Linked DNA regions of Coturnix japonica. The protein of the gene in region 1 binds, or shares a complex with, the protein of each later gene. Links are inferred from orthologs where the notes say so. Each region holds a gene or a part of one and is shown in the gene's direction. Other genes may lie near its edges.

Region 1 (5,907 bases):
CGCCAACCGCCGCTGTCGCACGGCGCCGCCGCAAAGCGCGGACGTGAGAGCGGCCGGAAGGGAGGGCGCTCAGTCGCGCTTTACGGCACGGCGCGACGCGCTGACGTAACGCGAGCCGCCATGGCTGCCAGAGAGGGAGGCTGAGCTCCCGGCATGCCCCGCTGCCGCAATGCACCATGGGATTTGTAGTCCGGCGGGGCGCGGCCGCGGGGCGGCGCTGTCCGAGTAATGGCGGCATTGCTGCTGGGTTATGACAGCATTGCTGCTGGGTATGACAGCATTGCTGCTGGGTTATGGCAGCATTGCTGCTGGGTAATGGCAGCATGGTGGCAATGCAGAGCACATGGCTGCAGCACAGCATGGGGCTCCAGAGGGATGCAGGTCCTGCAGGATGCAGCTGGGGCTGGGGACGGAGCGAGGCCTTGCTGTGGAGCCAGACACCCGCAGCACCGGGAGCTGCACCGTTCCTGCGGTGGTGCCCATCGGGAGCATGGCAGCACCATAACGTTGTGCTGGAGGCTGTGCAGTGTGACTGCATGATGTGCTGGGATGGCACGGACTGTGTAAGTCCCCCCGCAGCACACACTGCACCCTGCACGTCTGTGTATGGGGAAGTGTCTGACGGGGACGGGATGGGAAGTTCCACGGGGATTGCTGCGGGATGCAGGGCAGGCAGCCCGGCTGTGTGCAGCCTCAGGGCCCTGCTGTGCTTCTGCCTCTTCCCGTACTGAGCTGATGTGATTCTGGGAACTCTAAGCAGATGCCGGAGCCCATGGGGAGCACGGAAGGGCCCTGTGGACTTCTTAAAAGTGAAGTGAAACCTCGCACTTCTGCATGAGGAAGGAGCTGTCGGGGCCAGATCAAACATCTCCTCTGCTTCCCAGGGCAGATTCCTGCCTGCGGCCGCTCCTCCTTCACCCAGGAAGCAGCCGGTTACACGCTGACATCCACCCGTAGCTCGGCCGGGCCGGTCGCACCGTGCGGGGGAGCTGCGGGCACAGCCCCGGCCCCGCACGGCTCTCGGTTACGCTCTGAAGCTCGGGAAAGTCCCGGGGCGGCGGGTGCTGCCGGTGGGGACTTTGTCTCGGGACGTTCAGCCCGGTGACTGCAGGATGGGCGGCCCCTGCGGCCCCTTCCTGGGCGGAAACGGGTCGAGGCGTTAATATCGGCTGCCCGGCTCCGCACGGCTCGGTTCGATTCGGGTCGGGTCGGATGGGCGCGGCTCGGGCCATGGGGCGGCTCGGTCTGGGGCTGCTGTGCGCGCTGCTCCTGAACGTAAGTGCGGCGTCCCGCGGGGTGGGAGCGGGGCCGGGCCGGGGCTGCAACGCTGCGCTCCGTGATCACGGCCCGAAACGGGACCGGGATGCGGCGATGCTTTGCGGGGTGGGGGGGGAGCGCCCGGCGCCGTCGGGCCGCTGAGCTCCGGTCCCGGGGCCGCCGTCCAGCGCTGTGCCGGGAAGGGCTCGGGGAGCCCCTGGCTGGGTGCCCGGAGCACGGTTCCCACTCCCGGGCGTTGAGCTTCGTCGTTCCTCGTTCTCGTGGCTGAGATTCCCCCAGCAGGGGCTCGGCGGTCCCTGCCCTTCCAGCTCCATGTGCCTCCCCTTGTCCCACAATCCCCATCACGGGCGGTTGGGGCGCAGCTGTGGATTTGAGGTGCGGAGAGGGCGACGTGGTCCCTGTCAGCAGCAATCCCAGCCTGTGTCGAGGCAAAGCATGGGACAGGCATGGGGCGTGTTGTCCCTGCTGGAGGGGCTGAGCTCTGTTATGGGGTCTTGTGGGTTCGATGCAAGGCCGGGCCCTGGGGGAAGCAGGGGCAGGGTGGGGTGTCTGAGCTCACTTTTGGTTCCCCTTCCTGCCTGAAGTCACAGACACATGGTGGGGGGGGGGGTCAGTTCCCCTCTACAGAGTCAGGCATCCCAAGCTAGTGCCCCTTCACACCAGGACTGCCCACAGGACCGTGCTGGGGCTGACCAAGAGCAGACGCAGCAGTCTGTGTGGGTTTGATGCTCCTGCCCAGGAGGCACAGCTGGCACCGCTCCCCCTGCCCAGCACTGCTGCACTGGTGGCGCTGGCAGTCACCCAAAGTGAAGAGCAATCACCACCCCGTAGGAAACCTGGGAAAGCACGGGGCTGCCCTACAGGAGCCACTGCCATCCCACTTCAAAGAGAGAGCTGGCAGTGCCAGGCAGCGCAGGCAGATCTGCTGCGGTCTGTGGTTAGCCCAGGCATGGGAAATGTGGTGCAAGGAAAACCTCACCTTGGGGCACGACTCGGAGGATGTGCAGCTGTGCAGGAGTGTGGCAGAGCAGCATCTCTTCATGGGTCTCATCTCTTCCAGTGTGGGCAGCCTGGTGATGCTGTGAATTGCTCTGACAAGCAGTACGAGCACAAGGGCAGATGCTGCAACCGATGCCAGCCAGGTACAGAAATGCCTTCTCCTCCCTGAGGTCCTGCACCGTGGCTGCTGGGGCTGCATTTGGCAGTTGAACATCATGCCACAGTGGCCTCAACAGCTACAGCCCCTGGTGCTCCCACGTCCTGCTGTCAGATCTGCTGCCTGTGGGGGAAAGCTCCCTTTTCCCCCCTCACCAGCCCGTCTTGCAGGAAAGAAGCTGGTCTCTGAATGCAACGACACGGAAAACTCTGTCTGCACACCCTGTGAGAATGGACACTACCAGCAGGGCTGGACTAAGGAGAGGCACTGCACGCCCCATGACATCTGTGAGGACAGTAAGTGCTCCATGTCCCCAGCGTGTGGGGCTGCAGGGGCTGCACTCCATCCAGGCTCACTCTCACTTTGTCCCCACTCCCTTTCACAGACGCTGGCCTCATCGTGAAGAGACATGGAAACACAACACACAACACCGTGTGCCAGTGCCGGGCTGGCATGCACTGCTCTGATGCCAGCTGCCAGACCTGCGTGGAGAATGAGCCCTGCAAGCAGGGCTTTGGCTTTGTGGCAGGTGAGACCCAGCCACCCCTATCCCTGCCATGGGCCCCATGTGCTGGCGGCATCAACCTCAGGTGCTCCCAGAGATGGAGGCTTCCTCTGCATGGGGCCCTACCAGAGCTTTGTGAGGGCTGCATTGCAACCTCCACTCCCTTCCAGCCATGGCCGAAGCCCAGATGACCTCACCGTGTGAGCCCTGTGCAGAAGGCACCTTCTCCAATGTATCTTCTAAAACCGAGCCGTGCCACCTCTGGACAAGGTCAGTGTCAGCCACTCCCCACGCTCCATCCCTGTTCCTCTCTGCACATTCCCTGCTGTCACCTCTCGTGGCACTGGGACGAGGCACTGGGATGGCCTGTGCAGGGCAGGAGTGAGGGCAGCAGGGTGCAGTGAGACCCAGGTCACTGAGCTGGTGGCAGTTGTTGTGGTGTTCCCTCAGTTCATGGACTGCCAGACCCCGGGGGGGTTTCCAGGCCCAGCTCACTCCTGTCTGTAAAAAGTGGCTGAAAAGTTCCTCATGTTCCCTGGTAGAAATGTGAGCGTTACCTCTGGACTGTATTAGTCTCGCCTCAGCTGCCAGCCATTGGATTTCACTTTGCTCCTATCTATGGCCAGAAATTACCTCCCCACTGAGCCACTTTGTGGCATGCTATCGAGCCATCTCTGAGCTGTTCTGCAGTAGCTGAAGTGCCCCAGCCCCAGTATCCCCCTCCTGTGCCTCAACCCAAGGCACATGCCCACCTCTTTCAGTTCCAATGGCTTCTGACAGGGCCCTGGCATCTCCATCCCCATCCCACCCCAGGAGCCCCATTGCTGTGCCCTGACCATGAGCTCCCAGGGCCCAGGGGCTGCTGACTGCATGCTCTTGGCTCCCAGCCCCATGGCTGTGGGATTCCCACTGTGATGACACAGTCTCATTCTTTGCCTGCAGCTGCGAGGAAAAGGGGCTCGTGGTGAAAGTGAAAGGGACAAACACTTCAGATGTGATCTGTGGTAAGTGCTCCATACCCTGCCTGGTGCAGAGCTGGGATGGGCTGGAGTTCTGTGCAGCCCACTGAGTCCCCATCCCCTGGCAGAGTCGAGCCGGCGCTCATCGCTGTCAGTGCTGATCCCCATCACAGCTGCTGTTGTCACCTGCCTGGTGGGCATCTGCATCTACTGCCTGGTGCACACAGGTGAGGAGCCAAGTGGGGAAGGCAGCAGCAGTTCTACCAGAAACGGGGAGGCCCTTCAGGGGGTGTCACTGTGGCACCCAGCCCTTCCAGCTCTGAGCTCAGAGCTTGTTGCAGGGCTGGGGGCCAGGCAGGGCAGGACCTGCTCCAACAGCAGCCTTCTCTCCTTTCCCTGCAGACCTCAGGCGCCGTGGGCCGAAACAGGTGAGTTGGTTCCAGCCGTGGGTTGGGGTCCCTACTGGCACGGTAGGGATGTGTGGGCTGCAGAACGGGGGCTATCTTAGGGCTGTTCAATGGGGACGGGGCCACCAGGAACCCACACAGGGAACCCACATGGGGTGAGGCTCCTGTGCTGCAGTGGGAGTGAGTGCAGGAGGATCCCATGGAGGGATGCGGCTGCGGGCAGGGGCTGTGACTGCTGCTCCTGGCCCTGACCTCCTGCCCGCACACAGACTGAGGCCGAGATGCCCAGAGAGCTGGAGATGCAGCAGCCCGAGGAGGTGGACTTCCCAGTGCAGGAGACTCTGCTGGGAGGGCAGCCCGTGACACAGGAGGACGGCAAGGAGAGCCGCATCGCAGAGCAGGAGCAGCTGTGACAGCGTGGGAGCTGCCCTCCATGGGAGCAGCGGGCAGGGACAGCGCTGACCCCCCTGCATTGGGGTGGGAGGTGAGCACAGGGCCCGGCCGCCAGCACAGCGACCGACGTAGCGCCCAGCGGGGCGCCGTGCATGGGCCGACCCGAAGCGCAGCTCTGCCCGGGGGAGCCCCGGTGGCCCCACACGCAGCCGCCACGGCGGGACCCGTCGGCTCGGTGTCAGGGCACGGCAGTGCCGGCCCGGCGCGGCCGGGATACGTGGGAGACAACAAACAAACCCATCCCGGTCCCCGACCCACGCGGTGCGCTGCCGTCCCGGGGCCAGGAGGGGGCGCTGCGGGGCCGTCGGCGGCTCGAAGCGGGCGGAGCGCTCCCGCACAGCCCCGCACCGGCGGCGGAGGGGTCACGGCCCGGTGCGGGCGCTCAGCCGGGATCCCAAGGCCGGTATCCCGTAGCGAGCAGCAGGCGGAGGGTCTGCGGGGGGCGGCCCGGCTCAGCACCGCTCCCCTCGGCCGCCCCCGGCCCCGCACCGTCGCCCCCGCAGCCCCACGTACCGCACGCAGCCCCCACCGCGGTGCTGCCGGCTGCTGACATTTGCGCGGTTATTGCTCCGCTCCGAGCTGTACCATCGCCGTTACAATGGGAACAATTACACTCAATTATTCTCCACCACACCGTTGACAAAAAAGATGGCATTTAAACTTTAATTATTCTCTGGGTGTGCGTGAGCAGCATGGCCTGCGGCACGGGCGGCCCCTCCCCGCTGCTCCGTCTGCTCCAAACGGGGACCCCGGGGTCGTGCTCCCACCGGGGAGGGATGGAAGGAACCCAGCACCCACCCTGAGCCCGGCGGGGGCTGCAGGGAGCGGTGTGAGCCCACCACCCACCATCCGAGCACCATGTGGCATCAGGAAGGCAGTAAATCCCAGAGCCTGGAGCAGCTGCAACTCGGAGCAGCTTTTTCCATAAAGGCAGAGGCACGTTATTTAAGGCTGCTCTTAAAACCTAATGTTAGGTTTAATAAGGGAGATAAAAGCATGCCAGCAGCTGTCCTGCACGGGGCTGCGCGCTGCCTGCAGTGCTGGTGGATGGGCCCTGCGTTGTGTTAGCACAGCCCCACCAATACCCACCGTGGGGATGCAGTGACCCCACTCCTGGTGGCACTGCCAGCAGAGGGCTGGCACCGTGTG
Region 2 (5,806 bases), on another chromosome or scaffold:
TCTCTCCTGTGATGGGTACAGACCTGAAGACATGAGATCTTGGGAGACACAAGAAAAGGAAATCTAAAGAAATGATAAAACAAATGATGTTAAAGCTCAAATTTCTGCTTGTGGTCAGAAGGACTAAATCAGGTTTTTCTCATAGGTTTCCTTCCGCATCCCTCCTACAGCATTGCAGGCAAACTCCTTTTGTGACTCAGAATAAAATCCTCTTTCTGAGTGTCTTGCTCTTGGTGGTGCACAGCACCTGGCTTTTGTCGAGTGGAACGAGCTGGTGAGGTGAGCAGCATCTTTTAAAGAGCTACTTACATAAAACCGCAGCAAGCACCCAAAAAATTCACTCTCTTTTCATCAGCTTTCACCTTGCTGCGTTCAGAGCTGCTCCCAGCCTTTGGCAGATCACCAGGGCTTGCAACCGGATATTTTCTCAGTAAACAAAACCGACTGCAGTGGAGACAATTTGCTGATCAGCGGAAATACTGCAAGTAGGTCAATAGGAATGCAAGCGATGGATCACATTTTCCCATTGTCTCACTCGGGTTGGAGGCAGATGGGTATGGTTATGTTCAGGGGGTTGAGGGTGAAAGAAAACCCTGTTGGTTTCCCAGTGGTGCAACTGTCTCCAGGTGCAGGTGAACTTCATCTTCTCTGGGGGGATCCCACATAGGTTGGCACTGGGTTTTCCATCATCCCTCCGGACCATGCCCTCCTGCTCCCTCCCCAAAGTTCCTACAGCAGGAAGTGGCCAACAATGTACAGCCATGAGACAACCTGGCCCTGGCAGGAGCTGACATGGTTTTTGAGCCCCTCGCCCTACCCGTGTGATGCAGAACTACCATTACTACTGGTAATGGGGCCAGAGGAGATTGTTGGGGCTGGGTTGCCAACACAACAAAACGTTATCCTAAAGAAGAGCGACCAGCCTGCCCTCCTAATAAGGTGCGCTGACGAATCTCTGCTGGGATCCCCGCTGTCATATTTTCCACACCGTCTTCTTCGTCAGGGCACTGGTGACTATTGAGGCTGTGTTTCCTGGTTTGCAGAGCAAAGCAGAGAGCTTCCGTAGACATTTTGTGTTGGGGACCCCAGAGCGAAGCCTTTCCCCGTCCTCACAGAGCTGCAGGTGTGTTCTATGGGGCTGGGCTTTCCAGCATTCCCTGCAGCTTTCTCTCATTTTGGTGAAACGGTGACAGGTGGCCATCCAGAAACATCTCTGAGAGGGTTTCATCTGCCAGGGACGGCCAGGGCTCAGGGATAGCTGTGCAAAGCCTTATTTGCTGCTCTCTGTATCACTCACTGCTGTGGTTTCACACATTATTGACTGCCTCTGGGTCCCGACACTGGGGATTCGGGGAAAGTATTAAGTAACGACTTCTCGTGTCGTTTTGTTTCTCATATGAAGACTTCCTCCAAACATGAGTATTAAATTCGGAGGAAAGTCTGAAGAGCTTTGGAAAATGTCGGTGGTTGCCCTCTGGCCAAGGCATGGGGTGAGGACTTTGAAGAGCGTGCATTGATGGTTGCTGTGGCCCCCAGTGCTGTGGGGTTTTCCTGGGGGCAGCTTCTTGATGGTGCAGGAGGAAGACCCTCCATGGCAGGGACAGTTTTAGGAGCTCGGTGTCAGCTCAGAGCCCTGCCAGGGACCAGGGTTGGTATTTCCAAAGGTAATACTGATTTTAATATGAGAGGGAAGGAAAGCACTGGTTGGCAGTGCCCTCAAACTGCATGGGGGCTGCAGCCCCATCCCAAACAGGCTGTCCGGGAAAGTGACGGAGTCAGCATCACTGAAGGTGTTCAAGAAACATGGAGAAATGGCACTGAGTGACATGGTTAAGTGAGTGTGGTGGGGATGGGTTGATGGTTGTACTTGATGACCTTAGGGGTCTTTTCCAACCTTAATGATTCTGTGATTCTATGATTCTATAATTCAGTGCTCCCCTCTGTGCAAGAAGGTGGCAGAGTCAACGTGGTAAGGGGGCACAGGACCCTGAATATCCATCAGCCACTGAATTGCTGACAGCAAAGATCCTGGCACTGTAAGACATTTGTGATTTGGGTTATATTTGAGTTATTTGGCTATATTTAGGAAGGCAGTGACCTGCCAAGGTCAAATACTGACTGGGTTGCAGAGATGTTTGTGCTTTGCTACCAGCACTTGCAGTTGTAGCTAAAAGCACCCTAAACCACACAGGACAGGATGCGAGAGAGTGGGTAGATAGCAAAAGCGAGCTCTGGAACCCATCCTGCTGTGCTGTGCAGCCCTATGGCGCTGGGAGCTCTCCTCTGCTGTCACTGTGGGTGAGCAGCCCTGCTTAGCACCACCCTGCTTCTGGCAGGATCCAGCCCTTTATTTGCTGCGTGCACATCTGATAAGAGCATTGCTTTCAGCCTGTTACTTTCAAAACAACTTTGCATGATGGTTTGATCACCCCAGCCCCCTGTGCAGGCAGCCCAACTTCATTCTCTTTGCTCTAGCATGGAGCAAAGCCAGTCTGTGGTGGAGGTCTGTGGTTGGTAGCAGTGCCCAGAGTCCCCAGCAGCCCTTTCCATGCCCAGATTTGTGTTAATGGGGGCACAGTCTGAGGTTGCTTGTGCCTGTGTTTGAAGGGTGAGCACTTACTTCACCATGACACTGGAAAAGCTGCTCAAATTGTGTCTTTCCAAACTGACAGCCAAGCACCAAGACCCAAAGTCCTGCTGTCCAGGAGCATGAAGCCATGCCCACACTGTGGTCCCAGCGCCCACAGAGATGTCCCTTTCTCCAGGAGCATCCATCCTAATCCTACCCAGGAAGTCTTCACCTCTGGGAGATACAAGGGAAGGACAAGAACCAGCACAACCCATCTGCCTCCTCCAGGTATTGCAAAGTTGTCTGTCTCACAGAGGAAACAGAGTAGAAAGCCTTTCTTCTCATTTTGAGAAACTAACGAGTTCCAAAGAGCTTCCCAGTGCCTGGCAGCCCCCACCACAATTCAGAGATACTGCCCACTGACTCATGGTCCACATTGCTCTGAAGATGGCTGGTCACGAAACATTCATCCACAATAGGAAAAAAAGCAACACAACACTGGGGAAAGCCAGGAGTGTTTCAGAGATATGAAAATTGAGACTAAGAATTGCTACCTGCTTCTGGTAGGACAGTAGGAAAAAGTATGGAAGTGCACCAGAGAAGAAAGTCTAAGCAACCTCTTCTTTTTTTTTTTTGTTGTGGGAGATGGTGGTGAACAAACCTACCCACTACGAAGGGTTTTTTTCCAGGAAGTGTAGGTTGCTGCAACCTGTATCCCTTGAGCGGCGGCTGCTCACACAACAGTTCTCATGCTACTTGCAAGCAGCTCATTTGCAGGAGCACCAGCACCTTGCCCGGAGGATGAATGAAGCCTACAGCTCTGCAGCACCCCGACCCATGGGCAGCACCTCTCCCAGCACCATGAAAATGTTTCTGTGCTTCCTCGCTGTGTTCATGGTGGTACAGACCATTGGGACCGTACTCTTCTGTTTATATCTTCACATGAAGATGGATAAGGTAAGTGTTGGATAAGATAAAGCTGTCTCTGCTGGCCTGCTAACATCGTTTGCTTTCTGCATGAAGAGAGCTGGTCACCCAAAGGAGGAACGTGGGGCACGATGCTGCTGACCACTGGACTGGTGCAGAAATGGGGTTTATACACCCATGATCTTGTTCCTGCTCTAACTTGCCACTAAGAGAAGACGTACACAGACGAAGAGGGCTGTTCCCTTCTTTAACAAAGAGAGAATGGATCGGTAAAGAGGAGCTGCTAAGAGCAAACCTGGCAGACGCGGCCAGTCTGGGTGAACGTGGGTGCTGTGTTAGCCTTCAGGCTCCTGGTGGTCATGCTGGTGCCACAGCAGCACTGGGACACTCATCGGGGGGATAAAGTAGTCCAGAAATGAAGTTTTTCAAGGTCAGGATGGATGCGGCTCTGAGCACCTGATGGAGCTGTAGATGTCCCTGTTTATTACAGGGGATATGCACTAGATGACCTTTAAAGAACCATTCTGATTCAAACAGTTCTATGATTCTGCTTTGGGAAAATAAACGGTGGGTCTTAATACTTGGCTCTTTTTGATGGAAGGTGCATAGTATCCGTAATCCTGTCCTGCACGTGGGACAGCACTTAGCAAAAACTGAAGAGCTGAAAAGCTCTATTTGAAGTTGCTGTGACTGCAGCAGCACCACGCAACACTTAAAATCACTGATCTAAAACTGTTTCCCCCAAAGCAGAAAGCTATAGAAATGGAATGTACCTTAAACCCAGAATGCAGATGCAAAGATAAGACTGGTATTAAGTGGCTTTTAAATGTGTTGTCTTGATCTAAATTAAGATGTAAGCGGGTGACAGCCTGGGGCTTGGGCTTCCAGGCTGTGATTTGGGGAGGATGCCTCCTATCTGCATTTCCCAGCAGCAAGACATTGACCCTCTCTCTTCTCTCCCCCACCTGCAGATGGAAGAGGTGTTGAGTTTAAATGAAGATTACATCTTCCTGAGAAAAGTGCAGAAATGTCAGACGGGAGAAGGTCAGAAGTCGACGTTACTGGACTGTGATAAAGTTCTAAAGGGCTTCCAGGACCTCCAGTGCAAGGTAGATCGCTGCTGGGTGGATACAACCCCTGCTGAAGGTGGAGGGAGGCTCTCAGGCACACAAAGCATCACCCACAGCCTTCTTGAAATCTTGGGGCTACAGAAGAAGGGCTCTTTTTTATACGCTTTTTTACATGATATTTTTACACTAATGACATCAATGAAAAATCTCATCCATTTTTTTTCCCAAAAGCATGGCCAGAGCAAATCCAACTGCAGAGTGCCCAAGGTGGGATGGGATGGAGCTGCCATCCTGGCCTGAAAAACAATGGCATTCTGCTGTCTTCCAGCTCTCTTAGTTGCTGTGCGGGTGGGAAGGAGGATGTTAGGAGCACTTTTAAGCTCAGCCATTAATAGCAGTGCATGACTTGGACCAGCTGGAGTGAGTCCAGCAAGGAGCAGGAGGAGGATGCAATGCAAATGCCTCCCTATGGTTTAGGGACATCACCTCCACCTAATGCAGAGGCTTCTCGTGTTTGGGTAAAAAAGAGTCACCTTGCAGAGCATTTTAATTGCACAGCATTATTAAAATTAAAGACCTAAGACCAGAAGTTCTGCTACCCCCATACTGCAAAGAACAGGGCAGCCCACAGCCGTACATGATGCTGGGAAGGTGCTGGGGGATCTGATGTCTTCTGGTACCTTCTGTTGGTAACAAACAGCACCAATTGAGTTTTGTCCAGAGCATCCTTTACACACAGGCTTTAATGGTGTTTGTTTCGTACATCTTAAAACAGTGTATTATTTTAAAAAGTGGAAGGATACCTATCTTCAAGTATATATTTTTGCTGTTGTTGCAGGATAAGACAGCCAGTGAGGAGCTGCCAAAATTTGAAATGCACAGAGGTGAGTGTCATGGTGCTGCTGGAGGGCAGAGAGATGAGCGGCTGCAGGGGGAAGGGGAGAGGGGACGGGAGAGAGGGTCAGGTCCTTTGGTCCCCTTGGTGGGGTCTGTCGGGAGCAGCAGAGCATCTCCATGGGGGGACTGTGCATGGCATGGGGTTGGCAGAGACCTGGACAAAGCTGTCTTGCTAAGATACTGCATTGCCCAAAGTTGATGAAAACAAACTCAAAATTAAATCTTTCACTTTTTCTCCTTGCAGGTGATGAGCACCCCCACTCGAAGAGTAGGAATGAGACATCCGTGGCAGGTAAGCAGTGGGCACATCAAGTTCATGTCATTGCTGAGGCCAGACCCTGCC

The links. The genes of interacting proteins can lie anywhere in the genome.
Region 2: the proteins of CD40 (region 1) and CD40LG are in contact, whole or in part, in a crystal structure (PDB 3QD6), measured with the Homo sapiens proteins. The link is inferred for Coturnix japonica from reciprocal best matches to the Homo sapiens genes CD40 and CD40LG. Residues at the interface, in NP_001241.1 of Homo sapiens: Glu64, Ser65, Glu66, His76, Cys77, Gln79, Tyr82, Asp84, Asn86, Leu87, Trp109, Cys119; in NP_000065.1 of Homo sapiens: Ile127, Glu129, Ala130, Lys143, Gly144, Tyr145, Tyr146, Cys178, Pro217, Cys218, Gln220, Ser245, Gln246, Ser248, His249, Gly250, Thr251, Gly252.

What each region holds. Positions count from the first base shown.
Region 1 is NC_029535.1:9,594,639-9,600,545, forward strand, and holds the start of CD40 (tumor necrosis factor receptor superfamily member 5), read left to right. Parts: upstream 1-1,882; 5' UTR 1,883-2,227; coding exon 2,228-2,420; intron 2,421-2,604; coding exon 2,605-2,730; intron 2,731-2,819; coding exon 2,820-2,963; intron 2,964-3,109; coding exon 3,110-3,209; intron 3,210-3,881; coding exon 3,882-3,943; intron 3,944-4,026; coding exon 4,027-4,125; intron 4,126-4,300; coding exon 4,301-4,326; intron 4,327-4,574; coding exon 4,575-4,718; 3' UTR 4,719-5,907.
Region 2 is NC_029519.1:4,224,285-4,230,090, forward strand, and holds the start of CD40LG (CD40 ligand), read left to right. Parts: upstream 1-1,928; 5' UTR 1,929-3,214; coding exon 3,215-3,526; intron 3,527-4,467; coding exon 4,468-4,605; intron 4,606-5,404; coding exon 5,405-5,450; intron 5,451-5,707; coding exon 5,708-5,755; intron 5,756-5,806. UniProt on the Homo sapiens protein: Cytokine that acts as a ligand to CD40/TNFRSF5. Costimulates T-cell proliferation and cytokine production.